Linked DNA regions of Ovis aries. The protein of the gene in region 2 interacts with the protein of the main gene of each other region in a pairwise test. Links are inferred from orthologs where the notes say so. Each region holds a gene or a part of one and is shown on either strand. Other genes may lie near its edges. The genes, in order: TSHZ3, TRIM54, ARHGEF5, FAM110A, OTUB2, AIRIM and KLHL38.

The links.
Region 1: the proteins of TRIM54 (region 2) and TSHZ3 interact in binary tests that used the Homo sapiens proteins (3 or more experiments, as listed by UniProt). The two-hybrid records come from large-scale screens. The link is inferred for Ovis aries from reciprocal best matches to the Homo sapiens genes TRIM54 and TSHZ3.
Region 3: the proteins of TRIM54 (region 2) and ARHGEF5 interact in binary tests that used the Homo sapiens proteins (3 or more experiments, as listed by UniProt). The two-hybrid records come from large-scale screens. The link is inferred for Ovis aries from reciprocal best matches to the Homo sapiens genes TRIM54 and ARHGEF5.
Region 4: the proteins of TRIM54 (region 2) and FAM110A interact in binary tests that used the Homo sapiens proteins (3 or more experiments, as listed by UniProt). The two-hybrid records come from large-scale screens. The link is inferred for Ovis aries from reciprocal best matches to the Homo sapiens genes TRIM54 and FAM110A.
Region 5: the proteins of TRIM54 (region 2) and OTUB2 interact in binary tests that used the Homo sapiens proteins (3 or more experiments, as listed by UniProt). The two-hybrid records come from large-scale screens. The link is inferred for Ovis aries from reciprocal best matches to the Homo sapiens genes TRIM54 and OTUB2.
Region 6: the proteins of TRIM54 (region 2) and AIRIM interact in binary tests that used the Homo sapiens proteins (3 or more experiments, as listed by UniProt). The two-hybrid records come from large-scale screens. The link is inferred for Ovis aries from reciprocal best matches to the Homo sapiens genes TRIM54 and AIRIM.
Region 7: the proteins of TRIM54 (region 2) and KLHL38 interact in binary tests that used the Homo sapiens proteins (3 or more experiments, as listed by UniProt). The two-hybrid records come from large-scale screens. The link is inferred for Ovis aries from reciprocal best matches to the Homo sapiens genes TRIM54 and KLHL38.

Annotation. Positions count from the first base shown.
Region 1 is NC_056067.1:41,338,294-41,340,817, reverse strand, and holds the end of TSHZ3 (teashirt homolog 3), read left to right. Parts: coding exon 1-350; 3' UTR 351-2,024; downstream 2,025-2,524. UniProt on the Homo sapiens protein: Transcriptional regulator involved in developmental processes. Functions in association with APBB1, SET and HDAC factors as a transcriptional repressor, that inhibits the expression of CASP4.
Region 2 is NC_056056.1:34,374,736-34,378,235, reverse strand, and holds part of TRIM54 (tripartite motif-containing protein 54), read right to left. Parts: exon of another isoform or gene 2,973-3,500; intron 430-2,972; coding exon 257-429; intron 1-256. UniProt on the Homo sapiens protein: May bind and stabilize microtubules during myotubes formation.
Region 3 is NC_056057.1:108,786,036-108,789,535, reverse strand, and holds part of ARHGEF5 (rho guanine nucleotide exchange factor 5), read right to left. Parts: coding exon 2,948-3,500; intron 2,390-2,947; coding exon 2,332-2,389; intron 1,906-2,331; coding exon 1,841-1,905; intron 1,641-1,840; coding exon 1,387-1,640; intron 1-1,386. UniProt on the Homo sapiens protein: Guanine nucleotide exchange factor which activates Rho GTPases. Strongly activates RHOA. Also strongly activates RHOB, weakly activates RHOC and RHOG and shows no effect on RHOD, RHOV, RHOQ or RAC1.
Region 4 is NC_056066.1:59,933,525-59,937,451, forward strand, and holds the start of FAM110A (protein FAM110A), read right to left. Parts: upstream 2,801-3,927; 5' UTR 1-2,800.
Region 5 is NC_056071.1:56,431,910-56,435,409, forward strand, and holds part of OTUB2 (ubiquitin thioesterase OTUB2), read left to right. Parts: intron 1-1,805; coding exon 1,806-1,901; intron 1,902-3,206; coding exon 3,207-3,325; intron 3,326-3,500. UniProt on the Homo sapiens protein: Hydrolase that can remove conjugated ubiquitin from proteins in vitro and may therefore play an important regulatory role at the level of protein turnover by preventing degradation.
Region 6 is NC_056054.1:12,499,422-12,503,503, forward strand, and holds the start of AIRIM (AFG2-interacting ribosome maturation factor), read right to left. Parts: upstream 2,801-4,082; 5' UTR 2,614-2,800; exon of another isoform or gene 2,593-2,613; intron 2,404-2,592; 5' UTR 2,401-2,403; coding exon 2,126-2,400; intron 1-2,125. Other genes in the region: CDCA8 (borealin), read left to right, coding at 3,251-3,347, 3,488-3,616. UniProt on the Homo sapiens protein: Part of the 55LCC heterohexameric ATPase complex which is chromatin-associated and promotes replisome proteostasis to maintain replication fork progression and genome stability.
Region 7 is NC_056062.1:29,254,797-29,258,730, reverse strand, and holds the start of KLHL38 (kelch-like protein 38), read right to left. Parts: upstream 2,801-3,934; 5' UTR 2,617-2,800; intron 2,154-2,616; 5' UTR 1,994-2,153; coding exon 566-1,993; intron 1-565.

The DNA.
Region 1 (2,524 bases), on a different chromosome or scaffold from region 2:
TCAAAAACTTGGACACCGGCCACCCTGTGTTCTTTTGTAATGACTGCGCGTCACAAATCAGGACTCCATCCACGTACATCAGCCACCTCGAGTCACACCTGGGCTTCCGGCTACGGGATTTGTCCAAACTGTCCACTGAACAGATTAACAATCAGATAGCACAAACCAAGTCACCATCAGAAAAACTGGTGACGTCCTCCCCCGAGGAGGACCTGGGGACCTCCTACCAGTGCAAACTTTGCAATCGGACCTTTGCAAGCAAGCATGCAGTTAAACTTCACCTCAGCAAAACACACGGGAAGTCCCCTGAGGACCACCTTCTGTATGTTTCTGAGTTAGAGAAGCAGTAGCGTTTGCTTTTGATTAAAGTGACTGTAATTCGCTTTGAGGGAAACTGTTGCAGGCACCTTAAGGCCCCCCTGTCTTGTTCTTGGCACATGTTCTTATTTTAACTGCAGAGAATCACTCTGGGCTGGACTGTTTTGTATAACTGTACAGTGTTTAATAGAGGTGCATACTCAGCTGTTGTTACTGGTAAAATATGAAGGTTAAAACGCAGTGGTAAGTGTTTGGAACTTTGTGTAAATGGGATTTAGTTGTGAGCATCCCCTGATGCTTCAAGCTGCATGCATTAACAGACAGTTTAATTAAGCATTTATGACGAAACCGGGCACACTTTTCCACGTGGCTCAAGTGTGCTGGCATTTTTCACCCTTTCATCTTTAGCCCTCTGAGTACTTTGAAGCACTTTTGCATTAATTTGGTTAAAAAATAAAATAATAATAATAATGTATGAAGCTCTGTTTTTTAAACTCCTTACCAGCTTAGTTATAATTAATAATATGAACCTCCATTTATGCAGGTCTGCAGGGGTATAACACGCCTTGAAATTTAAAAGAATATTATTTTCACATTGAAACATAGATGTATATATTGTATAGATTTCAGACTCTCTTATGAAAAATGTGATTGTGGGTAAATGACCTTTTTTCCTGCATTTATAGCAACAGTGTTTTATGTACCTGCTATGCTCTGGGCATAAGCTGTGCCTATGTATAGTGTATATTTCTTTTTCTTTTTTTTTTAAGGTCTATGGGTTTTGTTTTTTACATGCAAACATTGTAAATTATACAGAAGATACCACAGATAGCATTTATAAAGTATACAGAAACATTATCTGAAAGCAAAGTATGATTGTTTGTTTTGCTATACAGTACATCTATATTGATAGAGGTTCACGTTTAAATTATACATATTTATTAGCATCATATTATCATTTGTTTTGAGCAGTCTGAATAAACGAGGCCAGGAGATCCATCCATGGCAGGCATCATAACTATTTTGCACATTATTTTTAAAGGTATTTATTAGAAATCAAAAAAAAAATGCTCAAAATAAACTCAGTGCTCAAAGGGTTAAGTCTATTTGAAAAGGAAAAAAAAAGAACAAAAAAAAAAGAGAGAGAGAGAACTTGTACTGTATTTCCTAAACATTGATAAAGCCTTTAAAATGTTTGTACTGTAATACTTTGCTTAAAAGTCACGAGGCATTCTGTGATACAACCTCTTTTACTTATTTATAAGCCCTCTTGGTTGCTGTTCCATATTGTAGGACGCCTTTTTATTTCAATTGGTAACTTTCTGTTTTGTTCTTCCTAATTATTCTCCCAAGATCCCACACTGCAGCTTTATCTTTAGGCTTATGAAAGGTAACCCGTGGTTACCGGCTCTCCAAGTGATTCTGTTCTTCTCCATTTTTGGCAGTTAATTTGCAGAAGTAACTGACAGCTGACACCATATGAGAACCTATGTATAAAATATTGGCATGTAAACAGCACAGACACTCTGTGCCCTGTTTTGTTGTTGACAATGAACCACCATTATGTGACTCTTCATATAACCCTCTTTTCTACGGCAGCATTAAAATTGTCTTTTTGCTATAATTTTGTGTTGCGTTCACAATTATGTCTGAAATGTGCTACGACTAACGAGCACATTAAAATTAAATTGTATGCGATCTGTTTATGACTGAGTTGGTTGCTGTGTCTGCCAGGTGCTGGCAGTCGGAAGCCGCCCGTAAATCAAGGGAGTTTTAGTGAACTTTGGGCTTGGAGAGCAGCGAGCATTCACTCAGAGGCGGCGTGGACAGAATTTTCCCCAAGAATAAAAATGTAAAAGAAAGGAAGATGTTCCCGTGGGGTTAGATTCTTGCTGGGAAGGCGATGTTATCAAGTATCCGTAGTGGAGCTTCGGTCACACCTGGCGACCCGCATGGGGGCGGGAGCTGGGTCTCCCATCTGGATGAGAGAAGTCCAAGTCAGGGCCCTGAGCCCTGCCCATGGCAGATGGGAGGAAAGGTTTTTGGAAGGCTCGGTGCAGGGCGATTCCTTCCTGTTGATTTGGGATTTTCAAGGAGCCCAGCTGGGCAGGTGGGCTGGGCATGCTCTCTCTTCTGTGCTAAAGTGAGCGCAGATAACGAGGTGTCGGGGGGCGGGGAGCCTGAACCCATCCACGGGAGGAGTGGG
Region 2 (3,500 bases):
TTGGCAGGGACCTTGCTGATAAATGGCCAGCTCCTGCCAGGTGAAGAAGGGGAAGCGCTGACCGGGAATCAGAGGCCACCTGAGCTGGTGACCTACCAAGCTGGGGGCAAGTCCCTCCTTCTCTGAGGTCCACTCCTCTCGTCACTAAACTGAAGGGACAGGTTGATCGTTTCAGCTTCTCCCTGCTGGCCCTGATGGGCTCCCTGGCTATGTCCCAGGCCCTGCATTTTAGATAAATGAGATGCTAACAGCTCACCGGGAGGACTCCTGCTTGTAAATGTCGATAATATTCTCCACGAGCAGGTTCCGCTGCAGGCCGTAGACACCATGTCGGTCCAGGACCACCTCGTGCCTGCAAGATGGGCAGCGGAAACGGCCCCCCGAAGACACAGTGGTGGAGCTTCGGGACTGCCACAGAGGGTTTGAGGCCTGTGGGTGCAGAGAGCATGAGAGGAAGGCCCAGTGAGTTATGGGGGAATTGGAGGGGGTGGGAGAGAAAGTCACCAGGGCTGGGGAGTAGGACAGTGATGGAGGGGGAGGCAGCAGCTCTTTTTTTTGGGGGGGGGGGGCATGGTGTGCTGCATGGCATGTGGGATCTTAGTTCCCCAAGCAGGGATTGAACCCGTGTCCCATGCACTGGGAGCACATAGTCTTAACCACTGGACCACCAAGGAAGTTCTTTTCTATGGCTGGGTGCTCCTCTGAGAGCAGCCCCAGGTGGGTGGCCATGGAAATCTCTCCCACCTTTGTGTCGTTACTCAGCCCACCCCTTTGAGTATTGCTGCATCCAGAGCCTAGCTTGATCAGGCCTTGTCAGGACAAGACCTCCTCAAAGGGGCCCGGCTTGGAGCTGTGGGGAGACATTGACCTCAGCAGGAAGACTGAGAAGGGAAATGGACCCTGAGTGGTGCAGCCCATAGCCTCCAGCCTAGGGCTCTCGTGGGCCACGTGTGGGGGAGATTCTTTGCAACCCCGGGCAGGGGCACAGAGACAAATGCTGAACAACAGAGCAGACACGTAGAGTCAGGCAATCCAGGGAAATCTCTCCAGGCACAGGGAACCAGGGCTCCTGGGTTCTCATGCTGTTCCTGTAGTGCCTACTGTGCATGTCTGGGCAAGCATTCAACCTCTGCACAATTAAGGATGAGACTGGTTTATTCACTCTACCACAAATATTAAGTGTGCCAGGTAATTGCTAGGCTCTGGGGAAAAGATGACTATCCCTGCCCTCAGGAGGAGCAAACTCACAGCTCCATCCAGTGGGCTGGGTGTTACGACAGGAGGAAGCTTGGAAGGAGAACTCACCAGATGGGATCAACAGTTCCTCCCATTTATACCCCTGAGAGGACCTGCTCCATCCTGTCCTAAAAAGGAGAGCCCTGCCATGGCTGAGGCCACAGAGCGTTGGCTCAGAATTGAGGACATGATCGGTCACCTGACCCAATAGGACCAATCAGTTTTTCTTTCTAGGAAATTGGAATGGAGACACAGAGGCTGACGTGACTAGACCATGTGCAGCTTTTGAACTGAAAAAAGATCGGTGGAGTTGAGCTAAAAGCCGACATTGTGGCCATCCCGAAATCTGTACAAGTGGGCAGTGTGAGGGGTCAGACACTGTGAACAGAGAAGCCTGGTCTGCAGGGAAGAGAAAGAATCGATCTGGGGAGAGAAGTGGAGAGGAAAGACAGGTGGAGACTGCTTGCTGTTCCTCAACATTCACCTCTTCTTCTTCTTCAATAATAGAGACCTTAGATTTTTAGTAAGACACCTGGGATAAAGACCATGCAACCAAGCCTCCCTTCCAGCCGGGTGTGACGAGGTGACTGTGTTCTGGCCAATGGGATATAGATAGAAATGTTTTGTGCAATTTCTAGGAAGTATCTTCAATGTGAAAGGCACGCCCTACTTCTCCTCTTTTCTCCTTCCTGCTGACTAGAATGAAGATGAAATGGCGTAGGCTGAAGCAGCCATCTAGAGCCAGGCAGTAGCCACATGCTGAGAACGGCAAGATAAAAGGAGTCTCTGATGAGGCAGAACTGGACTGCCCACTTTCACTGGAGAGTAAAAAAGTTTTACCTACTTGAAGTCACCGTTATTTTTGGTTTTCTGTCTTTCACAGCTGAACCTAATCCTAATTGGCTGGAAGAACACTCCTAGAGAGTGATGGAGAGGATGGTCATCTGTGACTTTGTGTGTTTAGATGTATTTCCCACAGTTGGGTTCTATAAACTTCTCCAAATCCTTATCACATTTTGGCAGGATTCTCTTTTTTTAATCTATTTATTTATTTGGGGGTTTGCTGGGTCTCTGTTGCTGTGTGGGCTTTTCACTAGTTGTGGCAAGAGGGGCTACTCTCTAGTTGTAATGCACAGGCTTCTCGTCGCAGAAGCCGAGAAGCCTCTCTTGTCGCAGCACGGGCTCTAGAGTGCTTGGGCTTCAGGAGTCGTGGCTTCCGGGCTCTAGAGCACAGGCTCAGTAGCTGTGGCGCATGGGCTTAGTTGCTCAGAAGCATGTGAGATCTTCCTGGACCAGGGATTGAACCCGAGTCTCCTGCACTGGCCAGCAGATTCTTTACCACTGAACCTTGAGGGAAGCCCTTGGCGGGATTTCTTGAAAATTGTAAGTTAACATTTTAGCCCATCATAAAGCTAAAAAGATTAGCTTGAGATTATCCCAAGGCTGCGTTTGTGTAAGTAAACATAAATCCTTCTTAGTAACTGGAATTGTGTGAATATTGTTAAGTTTAGCTTAAAGACTGGGTTAAAGTGTGAGATCACTGGGCTTTTGTTTGCTTGATACAGTTATCTTTCAGTATTTAGAATCCAAGTGAGCAAGGTGGTGTCAGGAAAACTCTAAACCTGCAAACTCCTGGAATCTTGCTTCTCTTTGATTTGCTGGTGGCAAGCATTTGAATATGCTTGGTGTCTGAATGGGAGGAAAGGGGGCATATTATTTTTTATATAAGTAAATTATTTTATTTTATTTTTGGCTGCGCTCGGTCTTCACTGCTGCACTTGGGTTCCTCTAGCTGCAGAGGGCAGAGCACTCTTCGTGGTGGTGTGTGGTGGTCTCATTTCGGTGGCTTCGCTTGTTGCAGGGCACAGGCTGTATGTGCATGGGCTTCAGTAGTTGCAGCTTGGGCTCAATAGTTGTGGCGCATCGGCCCTGTGGCATGTGGGATCCTCCCACACCAGGAATCCAGCCAGTGTCCCTTGCACTGGCAGGTGGATTCTTAACCGCTGGACCACCAGGGAAGTCCAGGGGGCATATTCTAAAGTCTTGCCCCAGAGCAAAGACAGACTCCTAAAGCTTCTTCTAACCTCTGCCCCTCACTGCGCCCTTCCTCCGTACTCATTATTTAACAGTCAACACAGGTTTTGAGGACCTATTATATGTCAAGCACTGTGCTAGGGGTTTTCCATACATTCTTGAATTTAACCCTCAAGAATTTCTTGTAAAGATGGTAGAAAAGGGACTTCCCTGGTGGTCCAGTGGCTAAG
Region 3 (3,500 bases), on a different chromosome or scaffold from region 2:
GAAGGGGACGACAGAGGATGAGATGGTTGGATGGCATCACCGACTCAATGGACGTGAGTTTGAGTGAACTCCAGGAGTTGATGACGGACAGGGAGGCCTGGTGTGCCGCAGTCCATGGGGTTGCAAAGAGCTGGACACGACTGAGCGACTGAACTGAACTGACTGATACATACATATGCATACACACCTAAATATCCTTTTACAGATTCTTTTCCATTATAGGTTATTACAAAATATTGAATATAGTCCCCGATACACAGTTAGTCCTTGTTTATAATTTTATATATAGTAGTGTGCATCTACCAAACCGAAGCTCCTAATTCATACTCTTTCTTGGTAACTATAAATTTATTTTCTATGTCTGTGAGTCTGTTTGTATACACACCACATCTTCTTTAGCCCTTCATTTGTTAATGGACTTATAGGTTGCTTCCCTGTCTTGGCCGTTGTAAATTATACTGCTATAAATGCTGTAAATAGAATCTATCTTTTTCTGATTCTCCCAGGAATTCTTTGCAACCAAGTTTTTACAAATGAAACAGAAGCTTGGAAAGATCAAGTATTGGGCTAGCCAAAAAGTTTATTTGGACTTTTCTATAACATCTTATGGACAATCCTGAATGAACTTTTTGGCCAGCTCAATATTTCGGCCTAAGTTAAATAGCTGGCAAATATTAAAGTGGGTCCAGGTCATTTAAGCCAGAACCTAATGCTTAAACATTGTTCCATAATGCTTTTCCAATGTGCCATATCGTCTTTCCAGGAAGAAAGATTTAACCCATACTTTAGATTGATTTTTAAGATAAGTGCTCCATGTAAAATATATTAATGATAGTAACTTAACATGAGACCAACAGCCTTTACTGTAGTCTTGCTGTTGGAAGGAAGGACCAAGCAGAGCCTGATGGTCATTCAAAAGCCTCTTTGAGACCCATGAACCACAGAACAGCTGCAAGGGCCACTCACCAAGGGAATACCAAAAAGCCCCTGCATGCGTCTTGGTTGAAGAGGAAAACTTCGGTGTAGGCTGACCCTTTGGTTGAAGAGGGAAATTTAAGTCTAGCCTGAAGCTAGACTAATGAGATTGAGTGTATACTCCTCCCATCAAATTCAGGGGCACGGTCACTTTGTATGAGCTCAGACCAATAGCATGGAGCAGTAAATGGTTGATGGAGCGAGAAGGAGGTAGATAGGAGGGAGAGTGGTGATGTTCACAGAGCAACTTGAGCCCAGAAAGCTGGGGGTGACCCAGTGTCGTGGTGGTGAGTGTGGTAGGGACAGCCCGCTCGTGGTGGTGGTGGGGGTGCTGAGTAGGAGACACGGGCGTGAACAGAGGAGACCCTGCTTTCCCTTCCGCAGCCCCTGCCCCACCCCGCCTGGTGGTACCTCCTGGAGCTTCTGGTCTTCATGGGTCATGGAGAGCAGCACGGTGCTGTTGCGCACCACGGGGATCTCCTGCCACAGCGAGCCGCTGGAGGCCATGGAGAGGCGATGCAGGTAGGACTCCGAGGAGACCAGGGCCTTTCGGGGCTGCTGGAGCGAGATGGGCCCCGGTGCCTCCGTCAGGCTGTCCAACCGCTGCTGGCTCTGAATCTCCTTGTTCAGAAACACATCACTGTACTCCTGGTAAAGCAGCGGGGCTACAGGGGTGAAGAGGTGCAGGAGAGGGAGGGAGTTAGGGAGATGGGGAGTTGAGGCTCCGAGATAGGTCATCAAGCCCCGTGGTCTCCTGGCATTTCTTCCTACAGATGGCCAAGTCCCACCGCTGATGACCATGAACCCCTCTCCGGCTCAAGCAGAACACTCACGGGGGTCCACAGGCCTGTTTTAAGGTACTCACAGGAGTTGATGAGCTTGGAGCACCGTCTTGAAAAGTTTCCCATCACCTCCTTTGGCTTTTTCTCCCTGTGGGATAAAGAAGGGCTCCATGGTGTTTGCTGACCATCAGACACGGAGAAGCCCCAAGTGACTATAAATAAGATAATCTCTGACCACTGGGACACGTGCCAGAATATCACAGCCAGAGCCTCTGGAGAGGCAAGCTGTAGCCTGACGCACTTTTGCACAGTTCGACACTCTTATGGATGTCAGGTTGAAATTTTACAGCAGGGTTTAGTTCACGGCCCAAGGGTCTAGATGGATGGGAGATTGGGATTCAGCTGCAAGAACCGGGTAGACGAAAGATCTCCCTATCCTGGAATCCTGGTGTCAGTCCCTTCCCCTCCCTACGCCTGGAAAAGACACGGTCTCAGCACCTTTGTCAGCTAATAAAAATCTCAGTATCCTAGGAAAGAGAGAAAACTGTGCCCACTGGGAGAAAGGGTGACTCACCGGAAAACAATGGCGTCCAACAGGCCAGGGGATCCTTCCATGGCGGGACCTCTTGTGTCTGAAAATAGAAAACGGGTAAAGTGAGATTGCGAGGGGCTGTTCAGACAGAGTCAAGGAACCTAAGACCTAGAGTGGGAGTTGTAGCCATGGGGGGTGGGTTCAAGGTTCAACTGGGCATCTGTGAGAAAGGGAAGAGCCCAAGTCAAAAGCATTTGAGATCTATCCCCACCCATTGCGGCAGAGTGTGAACCGGACAAGCAGAAGATGCCTTCTCTGCTAGCGGAAGGGCATCGAGCAAGTGTTGGTAATGAAGGTATGCAGCGGCGGTGGGGGGTTGTGGGGGGGAAGGTTCCAGAACAACGCTGGAAAACAGAGATGCACTATAAAAGTACACACCGCAATAGAGCGAGAGAGAAGGAAGGGGAGAAGAAAGAGCCTCGCCATGAGCTCAGAGACGTTCTAGAGGACTTTCCTCTGCTTGGGGCTGGGTACGTGGGTGAGGGAAGCCAGCAGGGGGACCAGCAGGAGCCTGGAGGACGGAAGATGGATGAGGAGGGGAGAGCGGGACAGAGTCTGCTCTGAGGCGAGGTCACCGTGGTCCAGGCTCTGCACTCACCTACAGGGCTCTCGGGGAGGATGGAGGGTCTTCGCAGGCCCTGCCGGTGCCAGTCCTTGTGCTTACTCGACCCCTCACCGGGGACCACCACCGCCTCACTGCCATCCTCCGCTGGCCTTCTCGGCTCCCGTCGATGGGGCCAGCTCGATGCCTTCTCCAGGAGGCTGTGGCCCGATTTCTCTGGCTGCCTCGCTGGGCCTACCTCTGACTTCCTCAGGCCATTGCTTCCTTCCTGGGGGGCTGTTCTTCTCCAAGACCCTCTGGCAGGGGCTTCAGACTCTTCTGAGAGCCCGGGTTCAGAGGTGGGTCGCTGGACCTCTGGAGTCCATGGGGTGGTTGGGGAAGATGGGTGTAGAAGGGCCGTCATGTTACTGAAAGCGAGGCCCGGGGGGGCATCACTCTTACACCTGCCGACGGAAGCCAAAGGGTGGGTTGACCGGCATGTGGCTGGAGGCCAGGAGACCCGTCCTGCAGAAGGCGGGGTGGAGACGGTCCACTCTTGACAATCAGGCCTTGGCCTGCCTTGATCCCCTGAGTTCACGAGTCCTCCCTG
Region 4 (3,927 bases), on a different chromosome or scaffold from region 2:
TATGACATTGTGCACTTCCACCTCACCCCTCCCTTCCACCTGCTTCTCCTTTTCCTTAGCAGAAGTCCAGCCCAGACTTCGGTGGAGACAGAGAGGCCCTCTCCTGCCCCAGAGGGAGCCAGGAAGGCTCCAGGCAGCAGAAGACTCCAGGACAGCTGCCAGGGCCAGAGACACCCAGCTGGGCATCCTCCAGGCCCACGCCAGGCCCCACACTATTTCTGGAGTTTTCCCAGATGTTCGTGCCCTGGCCTGCCTGCAGTCAGCCTTGCCCAGGGCAACCTTGCACAAACCTCAGGAAGAGAAAGGTAAACAGGCCACAGAAGCGGTGTGGGTGCAGCTGCCTAAGGCAGCAATCTCCCGTTTGGCCCACCAACTGCACACCTCCACCAACTCAGTCCTCTGGGCCTCAGGTCTGCACCTGAGCTTGCCAAATGAGGACAAAGGGACTCGCAGTGCAGACTAAGAGAGATACTGCGCGCAAAGCCTTAGGGAAGGGCCTGGCACACAGGATGCGGAAGGTGGAGTTGGGACAGACCCACAACCAAGCCCACTTCCTGTCCCGGACTGCCCTCTGCCTGGGCCGAAGCGCACCATCATGGCTTCTTTTCTCGGCGCAGAGATGTCAAGAACCTTGTCCAAAGTCACAAGAAAGTTAATGACAGATCATAGACAGGGCAGTGGTCTCATGATTAGATAAACAATCTATAATACACACATATTTTTTCAACCAGGTGATACATGTGCATGGCTTAAGATTCATAAGCTGTAAAGGAAATTAAAAAAAGAAAAACACCTCCCTCCACTCCTATCCCCAGCCACCCAGTTCCCCTCCCTGCAAGAATCATTATGATCAGATGGTTATATGTCCTTCCAGGGAGATTTCAGGCACATACAAGCAACAATGGACATATATTCTATTTTTTTTACACATAGCAACATGTTCTGTGCATTGTTTTCATTTATTCTTTCATTGAATAATATATGTTCTTAATATGTTATTAGCATGTTATTAATTATAATGTTATTAACAAAATAATATATGTTGTACTACATAAAGAGCCCATCAGTCCCTACCAATGGCCACTGAGCGTGTGTCTAGTCTCTATTAAAAACCACACTGTGGGACTTCCCTGGTGGGCCAGTGGTTAAGAATCTGCCTGCCAATGCAGGGGACATGGCTTCTACCCCTGGTAGAAGATCCCACGTGCCATGGAGCAACTAGGCCACAACAAAAGAAGCCTCCAAGTTCTAGAGCCCATGATCCACAGCAAGAAAAGCCACCACAATGATAAGCCTGCAACTAGAGAAAGCCCAGGCAGCAACGAACACCCAGCCCAGCCAAAAATAAACAAATAAATAAAAGAGTTCTCAGGCAGAGCCTTAAAAAACCCAAAAACCCCACACTGTGGGCTCACTGCACCTATATCATTCTGCCCAGAAGTGGGACAGCTAGGTCAGGGGGTGCATGTGTAATTGTGACAGAGATGAGGGACTGTGATCCAGGGAGTTGATCTCCCACCAGCAGAACACACAAAAATGATCAATAAATGTTAGCATTAGTCATTTTGATTCCTAGGGCTTTGGGCACCCCTCAGTTTCACACTGGAGGCGATTACCTCATTTACCTCACCCTAACCCTTCCCTGCAACACATTCCAGTCCGGGAAGATAATAAACTCGCTAATAAGTGAAATTATAGGACATTGGATGGGGTAAATGCTACTGAGAAAAACAAAATAGACAAGGCAGAGCATATGAAGTGAGTAAATATTTGTTGAAAGAATGAAGACTTGTTTTCTTTCTGAATTTCCAGAGCTCTGCTCCCTTTAAAGCCAGGAGACTGGTTTGGAGGAGAGAGGATAAATAATTCCCCTTGAAGAGATTCTAGACTCCCAGATGCTACAATTCTGAGTGTCTAGGATTCTAAGATGGAAGCCAGACAGATTGGGAACCAGCCCCAGAGTTGCCAAGTCTGACCATGTGGTTTTGGGCAAAGGGGCTTAACTTTTTAGAACCTCAGTTTGCCCACCTACGAAAGGAAACCCATAGCAACCAGCAGGTGGGGAGGGGGTTCCCCAGGAGGTAAGGCCTGGTGTAGGTCAGATGCTCTACCAGGAGCGGTCCTGGGCCCAGGACCAAGTCCAGTGTCTCTGGTGACTAGCGTCTTTGGCTGAGGGCTGTGCCTACCCTTTTGCCCAACCCGCAGTAGATTCCCAAGAGTCCTACAGCAATTCCAGGGCCAAAGCATCTGCTCCCCACCTGGCACCTAGCTCAGAAATGTCAGTCCTGCCTGAGCCACCCGTATCTTCTCTCTGAGAGGGAGAGCTCTGTAATTCAGAGCCCTGCAAGCTGAAGGATCTCAAGTGAGCCCCAAGTCCACCCCTGGCTTTCTGGAGAAATGAAGACAGATGGTGGGGAGAAGACCCCAGGCCGACGCTGGGGAGAGGCAGCCTGGAGCGGATGCAGCCAGGGCTCTCATGCTCCTGTTGATCAGAGGCTAAGAAAGCGACCACCAGTTACCTGTCAGGGTCTCTCAAGGCAAATCTAGAACTATTATGCTAGAGACTGCGAGATGGAGCAGAAAGATCTGAATCAGATTCTCTGCCAGACTTCGTCTTTCTGAGCCTCAGCGTTCTCATCTGTGAAATGGGGTACCCTCGTAGGACTCGGAGAGAACACGCACCGCAGGGGTGAATACAGCGCCCCCTTACACCCGGGTTCGCGCCCCGGACCACCCGTGCCCTCACAAGGAGCCTCGCCTAGGCGAGTCCCGCTCCTCCAGTGTGGGTCTTGAGGAGGCTGACAGCTCGGACCCAGTCAGGCGGGGAATGGCCGCACCCAACACGGCTCGGGAGGCCCAAGCCCCACGTGAGGACCCGCGGGGGCCTCTTCGGAGCTGTGCTCCGCACCCGAGATAAGCCGGAGAACCTGACTGTCCCAAGGTCCCAGACAGAGCGAAGGTCTGGGGGCACAGAGGGGAAGCGAAAACCCCGGGGCACCGGGGGAAGGGGAAATGAGCGCGTCGCTTCACCCCCCTCCCCGACACCAGAATGGTTTGCCCCGGACATCCTGATTGGTTTCTCGCTTCCGTTCGAACTCCGCGCCGCCCGCATTGCCAGGCAACGGCTTAGCTTCGGCCTGGCGTGGGAGCGCCCTGCCTTCTCAGTCCCTCCCCGCCCTTCAGCTTCCCGGTGGTCTCAGGTTCTTTGAGCAGCCCCTTTAGCTCAAGCGGCTAATTCTTTCTCTTGTTCACCCGGGACTTAGCTGATGGACGGAGGACCCTGGTGGGCCCAAGGGGTCGCTAAGAGTCGGACACGACTGAGCGACTTCACTTTCACTTTTCACTTTCATGCATTGGAGAAGGAAATGGCAACCCACTCCAGCGTTCTTGCCTGGAGAATCCCAGGGACGGGGGAGCCTGATGGGCCGCCGTCTCTGGGGTCGCACAGAGTCGGACACGACTGAAGCGACTTAGCAGCAGCAGCAGCAGTCCTGACTTCAGCTGACAGGCTATGTGAACCAGTGCAAGCCAGTTTTCCTGTCTGTTCCTCTAACTGCTCAATGCTGAGCAAGTTAGTGTGAAGATGGGCATGCCCAGCAGTCCCGAAATTTACTAAGGATGTGAGCGAAGATTAATATGCCCTGCGTTCTTTATCATGGCAAAATAATGAAAATAACTTAAGTGCTCAGTGAAAGGAAATTGGTTATATAAATCCATCCTGCGGAAGAACTGAATTTATTGAGGTTTTTATATATACCAGAAGCTTTGCATGACAAAACTCTCATCACTGCTCATGGCATAACCCTCTGATAAGTACCTTTAAATATCCTCACTTTTTGCTGAGGAATATTATACAGTCATTAAAAATGATATGATTAAAATATATTTAGCACTAAGAAAGATTGAATTTTTCAAAAGTATGTTTCA
Region 5 (3,500 bases), on a different chromosome or scaffold from region 2:
GGTCCATCCATGATGGTGCAAAGAGAAATATTTCATTCTTTTTTGTGACTGAATATCTCCATTGCATATTATACACCACATCTTTATCCGTTCACCTACTGATGGGCACTTAGGTTCCTTCCACATCTTGACTATTGTAAACAGTGCTTCAATGAACATAGTGATGCTTGTATCTTTCCTAAAGAGTGCTTTTGTTTTCTTTGGATACATACCCTGAAGTGGAATGACATATGATAGTTCTGTCTTAATTTGTCTGAGGAATCTCCGCACTGTTCTCCTTAATGACTACACCAGCTTATAATCCCATCAGCAGTGCACCCCAGGTCCCCGTTTCCCCACATTCTCACCAATCTTGTTAGAAAGTGAGAGTTGCTCAGTTGTGTCCAACTTTTTGTGACCCCGTGGACTGTACAGTCCATGGAATTCTCCAGGCCAGAATACTGGAGTGGGGAGCCGTTCCCTTCTTCAGGGGATCTTCTCAACTCAGGGATCAAACCCAGGTCTCCTGCATTGCAGGCAGATTCTTTACCAGCTGAGCCACAAGGGAAGTCCCACCAACCTTGTCATTTGTCTTTTTGATAACAGCCATTCTAACAGAGGTGAGGTGATACCTCATTGTGGTTTTGATTCCCTGATGGTTAACGGTGTTGAAAATCTTCTCATGGACCTGTTGGCCATCCATATATCTTCTTTGGAAAAATATCTGTGCAGATCCTCTGCCCATTTTTCAATTGGGTTGTGTGTGTCTTGGATGTTGAGTTGTATGAATTCTTTATATATTTTGGATATTAACTCCTTATTCAGATATATCATTTGTAAATATCTTCTTCTTTTCAGTAAGTGGCCTTTTCCTTTTGTTGAAAGTTTCTTTGCTGTGCAAAAACTTTTTTTTTCTAAACAGGAATATTCATAGTAACTTTATTCATAATAGCCCCAAAGTGGAAACAACCCCCAAATCCATCAACTGACAAATGGAACAAAATATGGTATACTGTACCATAGAATATTATCTGACAACAAAAAGGAAACAAGTACTGATATGTGGTACAACATGGATGCTTCTTAAATACATTAAGTGAAAGAAATCAGTCATAAAAGACCAATCATATGATTCCACTTGTATGAAATGTTCAGAAGAGGTGAGTTTACACGCACAGGAAACAGATTCCCAGATGAAAAGCTTTTTGTTTTAATGTAGTCCCATTTGTTTGTTTCTGTTTGTGTTTTCCTTGCCTGAGGAGACAGATCCCCCCAAAATACAACTAAGACCAACGTCAAACGGCATACTGCCTGTGTTTTCCTCTAGAATTTTAATGGTTTTGGGTGTTACATTTAAGTCTTTAAACCATTTTGCATTTATTTTTGTGCACCGATGTATTACAGTCTATAAAATGAGTCAGTTCAGAAATTACAAGATGAGGGACTTCCCCGGTGGTCCAGGGGCTAGGACTCTGCACTGCCAATGCCAGGGTTCCAGGTTTGATCCCTGGTCAGGGAACTAGATCCCACATGCCACAGCTAAGAGTTCATGTGTTGCAACTAAGACCCAGCACAGCCAACTAAGTAAATATTTCCAAAAAATTTAAAACGAAAGAACTTACAAGATAATAACGCCTTTCACAATGGGGCTGACCCTGACTCCTGCCGGGGACCCTGGCTTCTGGGCTGCTAGTCACATACTCGCAGGTGCTTCTGTCCAGGGGAGGTAACATCCTGCAGCCAGCACGTGGTGGGCTTTCTATTGGTTTTCACCTGCAGTTGCTTTTGAAATTGTCACAGCTTTGCTCCTTTTTTCTGTCTTTCAGAGTGAAACATCTTTCAACCTAATATCAGAAAAATGTGACATTCTATCAATTCTTCGGGATCATCCTGAAAACAGAATCTACCAGAGGAAAATCCAGGTAAGGCAGAGGGTCAGGAGGAGGGGAGCCTAGATGAAATGGGCTGGAGTTGGGAGCAGAGACAAAGGTACCACTTTGAAGGTAAAAAGGCTTTGCCTTTGGACCAGGTTCCTGGACAAATTAAAGGCCTCCCAGAATAATGCAGTGTTGAGCATATTTACCTTAGTGAGAAATCCTTTAGTTGCAAAAAAAACCCCAAAAAACCCCAGCAGTTTTTGACCTCATTACAGGATTGCAAGGTCAGGACTTTTATTACCCACATTTCACAGCGGAGGGAACCAAGTTACGAAAATTAAATGGCTGGCCCACAATTCTACCGCGCATGTGTGGAGGAGCCGGCACTTGGGCCGAACAGCCTCAGCTCATAAAAGTAGTATTTGTAACCACTCTGTGAGCAGCTCTCTGGTGAGAAGGCCCACTCTGGCTGGACTCTGACAAAGGAGAGATGGCTGAAGGATGCAGGAACGGTTATGGGACTAGGAGGAACCTGGGTGTCCCCCTACTGCCCTCTGGCCACCTGCATTTGGGCAGGACTGTCTCCTGTGGCCGCTGGGAGCCCTTCCTGGGGCAGGAGTGAGAGCTGGGCTGCACATCTCATCCTCTGGGAGATGAGCTGGCTCTCCAGGGAGCCCTCCCTACAGCCTGCCTCTAGGGGGCTGTCAGCTCCACCCTGGTGGGAGCAGGGACTCCCTGATCCCTTAGAAACCACACTGGGCCGTCAGAATCCTGACCGTAGGCAGGCCCGGGAGGCAGCCGCGGCAGAAGCTGACAGCTCAGAGCAGAACTGGAGCAGGTGCCATGGGGACGCCACACTTCTTAAGAACCGCTCGGAGGACTGGCCAGACTGCTTGGCGATGTCCGAGGAGGCCTTTCCTACTGCCTGTGCAGCCTCCTGGCCCACCTCACAGCCACATGCACCCTCGCTGCCCCCACCAGGCACACCACTTCTCTCGGTGCGATTCCTCCAGGAAGTCTTCCTGGACTGCTGAAGTCTGGTGTAGATGCCACTGCTCCGCAGCACCCTGGTGCATCCCCTGTCCTCCTGTGACAGTTGTCCAACCGTCCATCATCCCCCTAGCCTGTAGGCTCCTCAGAGCGGGGCACGGCTCCCCGTTCACAGTGCCTCCTGCAGGTCGCACTCCACGTATTTTTATTTTTGTGGGATGAGAGTTGGGACACCATGGAGGGCCTCCAGTCTGAGAGGAGGGAGCAGATGTTGCCTGGGGGAGGTGGAACCCCACCCCTGACAGGACTCGATGGGGGTTCTGTTGGTACGGACACCCACATTTCCTCTGTCCCCCACAGGAACTCAGCAAAAGGTTCACCGCCATCCGCAAGACCAAGGGGGATGGCAACTGCTTCTACCGGGCCTTGGGCTACTCCTACCTGGAGTCTCTGCTGGGCAAGAGCAGGGAGATCCTCAAGTGAGTGCCGTGTGAGGGATGCCGGGCGGGCTGTGCTTCTGCTGCGTCGATTGGCCCTGAACCTCCCTGAGGGTTTGGTCTCAGCGCAGCCTGCTTAGCCCAGGGAGTGAGTTGCGGCATTGACATCGAGGGGATGCCCAGCGGCCCTCGTGGTGGAAGTGAGGGCAGCCAAGGG
Region 6 (4,082 bases), on a different chromosome or scaffold from region 2:
CCAAGAACATCTTGGACCTGATGATTCTTTGTGGTGGAGGGCTGCACTGTAGGTTGTAGGTTGTTCAGCAGCAACCTGGGCCTCTACCTACTAGATGACAAAAGCAAACTATGTCCCCACCCATCTCAAGCTGTGGCAATCAATACTGTCTCCAGATACTGCCACACATCCCAATGGGAAAAACTGCCTCCGAAGGAGATCTACTGGTCCCAGGTGCCTTGGATGGAGGGGTGGCTTAACAATTAAGAATTGACTTAAAGATGATGAGGCTGAAGTTACATCACTCTCAAAAGCTGTGTGATGGGCCCAGCTGCCAAAGATAGTAAAGACCAAGCAGGCTTTCTGGGACTCCCATAAAGGAGAGGAAATGTTCACACATAGTCTAAGGCCACATATGTGAAAGGAATTAGCAAGAGGAAACTACAGCAATAGAGCAGTCTTGCGCTCATGCTATATCGTGCCCCACCCTCGTGAATTCCTGAATGGGTAAAATTTGAGCTCTTGACGCACACAGATTATTGTCGATCTCAGGAAAGTTACTTATTCTCAATCACGAACAAAAACAAGTCTCTTTTGTTCACTGTGCATCCTAAGTACCTAAAACACTGAGACTGGCCGACAAAGCAACAAACATTTGTCCAGTGAATGAAAAGGACTGTTGTGAAGAGTAAATACAATAATGCATATTAAGCCATTAGGGAAGTACCTAGCTTATGGCAAATTTTATTATTTTTACATGATTATTTTAAAAATTATTATATAATTATTTTAAAAGTTATTATTCCATTAGTGACTCCAAGAGGTCTAGCCATAAGACGAAGGCTACAACTTCCCAAAGGGCAAGGAACTCCCTAGCCTAGAACTGCAGCTTTCAAGTTTGACTGTGACTCACAATAAAAACTAGGCTAAAAATAACAGCCCAATACCCACATAAAAACATGTAATCAACTGAAATAAAAGTTCGCTACCTTAGAATGTATAATGACCTAACTTAACTGACTCTTTTACTCAACTTAGGAACTAAGTCGGCCTTACTATTGTATTCCTGCTGCTGCTGCTGCTGCTGCTGCTGCTAAGTCGCTTCAGTCGTATCCAACTCTGTGCGACCCCATAGACGGCAGCCCACCAGGCTCCCCTGTCCCTGGGATTCTCCAGGCAAGAACACTGGAGTGGGTTGCCATTTCCTTCTCCAATGCATGAAAGTGAAAAGTGAAAGTGAAGTCACTCAGTCATGTCCGACTCTTTGAGACCCCATGGATCGCAGCCTACCAGGCTCTTCCATCCATGGGATTTTCCAGGCAACAGTACTGGAGTCGGGTGCCATTGCCTTCTCCATTGTATTCCTAGCACCTGTGTTTTGCATCCCATGGGTTCTTAATGTTTTTAGTACAGATAAATACAAAGAAGGCCCCCATCTTTGAGTTTCCTATCAGTCTATGGCAAACCCTACACACTAGAACCTTCTTTCATCCTGGTTAAGGGAAGGCCATATGTGCCTTCTCTCTTCTCTATCCCCAATTACCTGTAATTCTAAGATCGAAGGCCTAACATTGGTGCTTCTCCTCGCTCAGACACCAATGTACAGCAGAACAAAGCGGTGGTTAGGAGCTTCTGGCCCCAGTGCCAGAGGCACTCGGATGAGCATCCCAGCTTTACTATTTACTAACTGCCTGAGCACAGGCAATTTGCGTGAGCCTCAGTTTCCTCACTTGAAAAATGGGATTAAGTGAGGTTAAGTCACAGTTGTTGAAAAGATTTTATGAGATAATGTATGTAAAATCCTTGCTGCTGGCACCTACTAAGTTTACAGTGTAACTCCTGCTGCTTTCTACCTAAGGAAAACTACAGTGGAGGGTCAATGAGCTTTCTCCATTGCTTTTCTGTTCTGCTTTGGTAACTTTTACTAAGTCCACCACTGTCATGCCTAGCTGATAAGGGAAATGCCAGAAAATGGTTTTTTGACAGAGAGAGGTCCCACTGCAACAGATGGAAAGGGGGTAAGGCTGTCACATCCCCAAATACCATTCTCTTAAGGAGAAAAACCCCCTTTCTCACTGATCCTAGATTATTAAATACCCAGTTTTAACATCTCTAGGCCAAGAAAGAGCGCCACTGTGCCTCTTACAGCCTCTCTCCTAGCTTGTCCAGGATAGTGTCACCAGCCGCCAGCTGCTTGCGCCTCAGCCGCTCCTTTAGGTCTGGGAAGGCCCGAAGTGAGGGCACATCCTCAAATCGCAGGTTCTGTGTGGCTTGCAGCTGCTCTGCCAGGTTGCTGAGGGAGGCCAGGAGGGGCGGGCAGTCTCTCAGAGCACTCTGCCACAGGCCCTGCTGCTCGTCCACCACAGGAAAGCACTTCCTCAGGGCCTCCTGCACGGCAAGCAAAGGCTGATCTTCAGTCATCTTCTATTGTAGGGGTGAAAACAAAAACAAAACCCAGGAAAAAACAAATATCATTAGGGTCCCAAGTCGACAGGCAAAGGGCCGAGTCAAGGGTGGGAGTTATTTCCGTTCTCAGAGAGGTCCAGCTAAACAAAGTTTGCTCATGTAGGGCCGTCCATCCCTCCCGACAGGTGTTTCTAGCGCGAGTCTTACCTTCAGAGAGGCTCAACCTACCCCTTGGCTTAGGGCAGTTTCAGACTGAAGGTTCACTGGGCCGATCCGTGCTTCCGGAGCCAGAATCTTATCTCCTCTACTTGAGGTTTCCGGCCGCTCTTCTAAACCAGCGGGAAAACAAAACTAAAGCAATAACACTTTAAGGAAATTCCAAGACTCCGCACACCTCCGCTGTGTCTCTGCGCATGCCCAGACGTGGTTACAGAGTCGCGAAAAAGATGCGGTCGGACCGCAATGCCTTCTGGGTGCTGTAGTTTACGTGTGGACTGGCTGCCCAATTGCGAAGCTTCTCTGTGATTGGCTGTTGTGAAACCCTCCTAAGACGGCGGCTTTTTATTGGCCAGCCTTTGGCAGTTTGAATTTGGTGGCGGCGGTCTCACGTCGCTTTCGTCCCGGAGCGGCTCCTTCTCGGCTGAAGCAGCCGGGTTTTTCCTCAGCCCGGGTTTCAGAACCTGCAGGTGGGTGCCTCGCGAATCCTTTATTCCTCGGGCCCGGAAGGGCAGGGGTCCCCAATTCAAACCCCCAGGGGGGCCCTCCACCCTCCCTCGCCCCCTTGCGGCCCCCTCTCCTTCACCATCTCCGCCGCTGACGCCTTGTGCCTCCGCCCCTAGCTCCCCGCAGCCTCCATCGAAGGGCCATGGCTCCGTCTAGGAAGGGCGGCAGTCGGGTGGCTAAGACCAATGTGCTGCGGAACCGAAAGCTCGCCTCCTTTCTTAAGGACTTCGACCGTGAAGGTGAGGGGCGGAGCCCGGGTGGTCGCGGTCACTTGGGGGCAATCGCGGGGTGCTGGAGGACTGGGACGCGGGCAGCAGGGATTCCGGGAACCTTTTCCCCGCGGGGTGACCCGTGCCGTGTCCTCTCTGCCCTCTCGCAGTGCAAATGCGATCCAAGCAAATTCAGTCAGACAGGCAGAACCTCCTCAAAGAGTTGGATAACCTGTACAACATTGAGATCCTGCGACTCCCCAAGGCGCTGCGCGAAATGAACTGGCTCGAATACTTCGGTAAGAGCTCCTGGTCTTTCCCCAGGCCTCGGCCTGGAGCCCTTCTGTGGTTACCATGGCAGCTTTTATCTTCTCAATGAGGTCTTAGAAGGAAATTGCAGGCCTACTCCTCCCCGATCCGTCTCACCTCCCTGCTTTTCTTCTTAGCACTTTCCCTCATCTTCCTCTGCAGGCAGGCAAATATTTTCTCTAAAGGAGGAGATAATAAGTATTTTAGGCTTTGTAGGCCAGAAGGTTCTCTGTCCAAACTACTCATGCTGTTATAGTTCAAAAACAGCTGTAATGAATGGGCATAGCTGTTTTCCAACAGAAATCTATTTATGGAAACACTGAAATGTGAATTTGACAGATTTCAGATTCCATGTGTCATGAAATACTCTTTTTTTGAGGGGGGTGGTGTTTTATCTAACCATTTAAAAGTGAATGAATGAATAGATTGTTACCAGAGCACAGATGGAAGGATAAC
Region 7 (3,934 bases), on a different chromosome or scaffold from region 2:
GAAGGAAATGGCAGCCCACTCCAGTGTTCTTGCCTGGAGAATCCCAGGGAGGGGGGAGCCTGGTGGGCTGCTGTCTATGGGGTCACACAGAGTCGGACATGACTGAAGTGACTTAGCAGCAGTAGCAGTAGCAGCTAGATCCTTTAGAGGTATCTGATGTACCTTTGTATGTATTGACCTTACCCAAAAGAATTCATAAATGGATAAGATCTTGCTGAAATTAAACTTCCTTCCTTCCTCCCTCCCTTCCTCCTTTATCCTTCCCTTGCAACTAACAAGCATGTATAATACGCATATATGTGCATAGGTATGTGTGTATTCATGTATCTGTGTATGTACACATGTGTTTGCACATGCACACATGTATACATGCGTGTGCATGCAGTGCACACACGTGTGAGCATATGTGTCATGCATGCATCTGTACATATGTGTGTGTGCATGAATGTGCTTGTTTGTAGGTGTGTGTAGACATAGTGGGAAGAACCATTTACCTGGATACATGTATGCATACGTGTGTGTGTGTGTGTGTGTGTGCACTTGTATGGTGGGAAGTACTGTTTACCTGGATAAGGCGCACAGGATTCTGCATGATGTCTTCTCCCCCAAAAAGGTAGAGTCTCTGGTCTTTCACAGCAACCGCAGGGTGGAGGACCCCCACTGGCATGCTGGCCATCCTCTCCCAGACGTTGCCGACACTGTCATATCTCTCCATGGAGCCCATGACCTCGTGCCCCTCACCAATCCCCCCGATGGAGAAGATGAAGTTCTTGTGGGCAGCGCTTCTGTGGGAGTAGCGGGCCGCCAGCATGGGCTGCCCTGGCCTCCACTGATTCAGTTTCAGGGAGAAGACGTAGACCTTGGCACTGGGCACACTCTTCCCCACAGCCATGCCCCCCAGCACGTAGATGCCGCGGTGCAAGGAGACGGCTGAGGCCTTGTACAGGCGGGCCGGGAGTTTGGCAAGGCTCTGCCACCGGCCAGTCTGTCCGTCGTACAGCAGGACATCCCTGGTGGTCTGCTGGTTGTCCTTCCTTCCACCCAAGAGGATGAGGAAGTCTTGGTAAGAGTTTCTTGGCGGGACATGCCACAGAGGTTGGAGGCCCGCAGAACTAGCGGTGCTGTACAGAGAAAACACCTGCCTCTTGGCGGTCTCCAGGATGGTCTGGCAGGGGGGCGAAGACTGGAGGAGGGCGTCGTTGGCGATGAAGTGGTGGAAGAAGGCCGGGTGGACGTACTGCAGCCTGACCTGCTTGAACAGTTCCTGCACGTATCGCTTCCGGGTCTGGAGGTCATGCTTGATCCAAACCATGAGGGCCTCGAACACCTTCTCCTCCTCCCCACACAGCCCATCGTCCCCCAGGTAGTCTCTCAGTTCCAAGGCACAGAGCTCCTTCAGGTCAGCCGACGCGGCCACTTCTGGGAAATATGTCAGGGCCACCTCCCTGGCTTTCTTCCGGAGGGTCTCACAGCTGAAGATTTCAGAGAGTCTAGTCATGCCCAGGCAGTTGCTGGGGCTCAGCTGGCTCTGGAGGAAGGAGGAGCAGGCCTCGAGCAGCTTGGGGTACTGCAGCATGGATGCGGCCTCCATCAGGGGCAGGACACTTTCCACAGTGATGTGCGCCTCACCCGTGTACACATACAGGACGATTCGCTCCAGAGTCGAGGCATCGATGCCTTTCAGCTGGACCTTGGCCTCTCGGCTCTCCCGGAAGTTGCTGCAGAACATGGCCCTGAAGTAGGGACTGCTGGAGGCCAGCACGTTGCGGTGGCAGGGGACCTCCCGGGCCCCGGCGCAGATGCTTACGTCGGTCAGGATCCGATTTTGCCTCAAGTCGTTGAGCTGCCTCAGCAAGTCAGAGGAGAAGTCATGGTCTTTGAAGAGGAGCCCCTCTGATGACTCCATGTCCATCCTGTAAAGACGGGGAGAAGTCCCAAGAAGGAGGTCGTCCTGGAGGGTTAAGCTGTGGCGGCTCCGAGACTTACAGCACATCTATCTGTCCATTCACTAAGCTCTTTGTGGGTACCACCAAGAATACGCCTTAGTGAAGACTGGAAAATGGGACCACCTAGTGTACGGGCCTCAGCGAAAATCTCTCTATTTGGTTATGATTATTCTCAGAGGTAACAGAGAAATAGCATCTGCAGACAATCTGAAAAAAGAAAAGAAAAGAAAAAAAATTTAGAAGAGAGAGAGAGCAGGTGGTAAGTTGGGAGAGTTGAAGGTGGTAAGTGGTTACAGGGGCTAAAACGTTAGCTTGAAGCAAAATGACAGTCTGTGCATTTGAAGCATAAGTCTGTGAACTTTTCTCCGGATTCTCAGCATATCTCTTACTTAGTAAACTCATCCAAACATCTTTCCGGGTGTTAGTCATTCCCCACGGATGTCATGCTGGGGGCGTGGCCTCTGGTATCGAGACAGAAATGAGGGATGGAAATGGATCTTTGCAATGTTTTGTTTTTATTTTTAAACATGACCTCACGGAGTCTTGTGGCTTTTGTTTTTAAAATGAGATAAATAGAAAGCAGAGACCGACGGTACCCTGGGCAGGGTTTATTGGATGACATCTGGCCACCCGTTCACCTGCAGAAGAATTAAACATTAGAGCTATTTACCTCGTTTTCCTGCAGTGAAAACCATCGATACCTGCCGCGGCTGGTCCCTCCGGAGACTTTCCACCTCTGGCTCCAAGTGAAACCATAAAACCAGGCCTTTCCTTAAGCTGGCAAATAATTTGTCCTGGGAGAATTCTGGATTTGTTTATGCTGAAGGCGCTTTCACAGTTTTCTAGAGCTTTGTGAAAGAACTGCTGGGCAGAGAGACCGTGTATACATTCCAGGGCTAAGAATAGTTGCGTATGTACTTTCCACTGTTATGACATGTGACTTTCCATTTGCCTTTTGCAGCAACCCGAGGGCCTGTGGGCCCAGCGCATGCCCACATGCCTTGTTTCCTTGGCAGATGTTTACATGGGCAGAAATAGATTTGGAGGAACAACTTCTCTTAGACAAGACTTTGCTGCCCACTTGGACACATCCTGAATGCCTTGTCCTAAAAGTGCCTGGGAATTCTAGATGTCTGTAAACAGGTTGCTGTGACCTGGGAAAAGTCACTGAAGATAGTTCTGGGTGAGTTTAAGGTGGCAGATGGTCACAGGGAAGCCAGAACATGGGGGCCCAAGGGCATTGCTCAGTTGGTCTCTATTTCCTACTGTCTGCGGGCAGGATTGTTGGAGAAGGGCTGTGAGTTCCTCCTCCAAGCTCCAAGGTGATGGTCTCTGTGATGAAAATTGTTTTAGATATTTGTGGAGCACCCCCAGGGTTTCCAGACTTGGGGGAGACCAAAGCATTGTGGATCCTCCTTATCACAGGGGCTTCTGTTTTAAAGTGGCCGGGGCAGTACTCTTGTGGGTCACACCTGCTTCTCACCAGAGCCCTGCTGACTGTTCTTCAGTTCATTAAAAAAAAAATATTTCAGGCTTGCTTTTCTGTTTTATTTTTCCAATTTTTCCCATCAGAGAGGCTTGAGCTAGAGGAAGGAGGAAACTGTGTTGCTCCAGGAGCAGAGTGTGGGCAGGAGAGAGAGAGAGAGAGAGTGAGTGAGTGAGTGAGGATGAAAGGAAGGAGAAGAAAGAGGAGGGGGAGGAAGAAGAGAAGGAGAATGCTGATGGTGATGGAGTAGGATGCAATCTCCAAATATAAGAATTAGAGCCATTCTGGAGGGCTGTAGAGCTGCCAGGGTGAGTTAAAGGGACCCTGAATCTATCTTGCCTCTCCGTCCAGGGAGGTCCTGATTGAGGGTACCAGCAGTGAATGATGGCAGGGAAGCCTGGCTTTCTCTCCTTCTCAAGTCTTGCTGGGATTATTGCAACAGTTGCTCCTAACCCTCGCTCCTTGTCTCTCCCTCCAGTACATCCACCCTGTCACCACCACA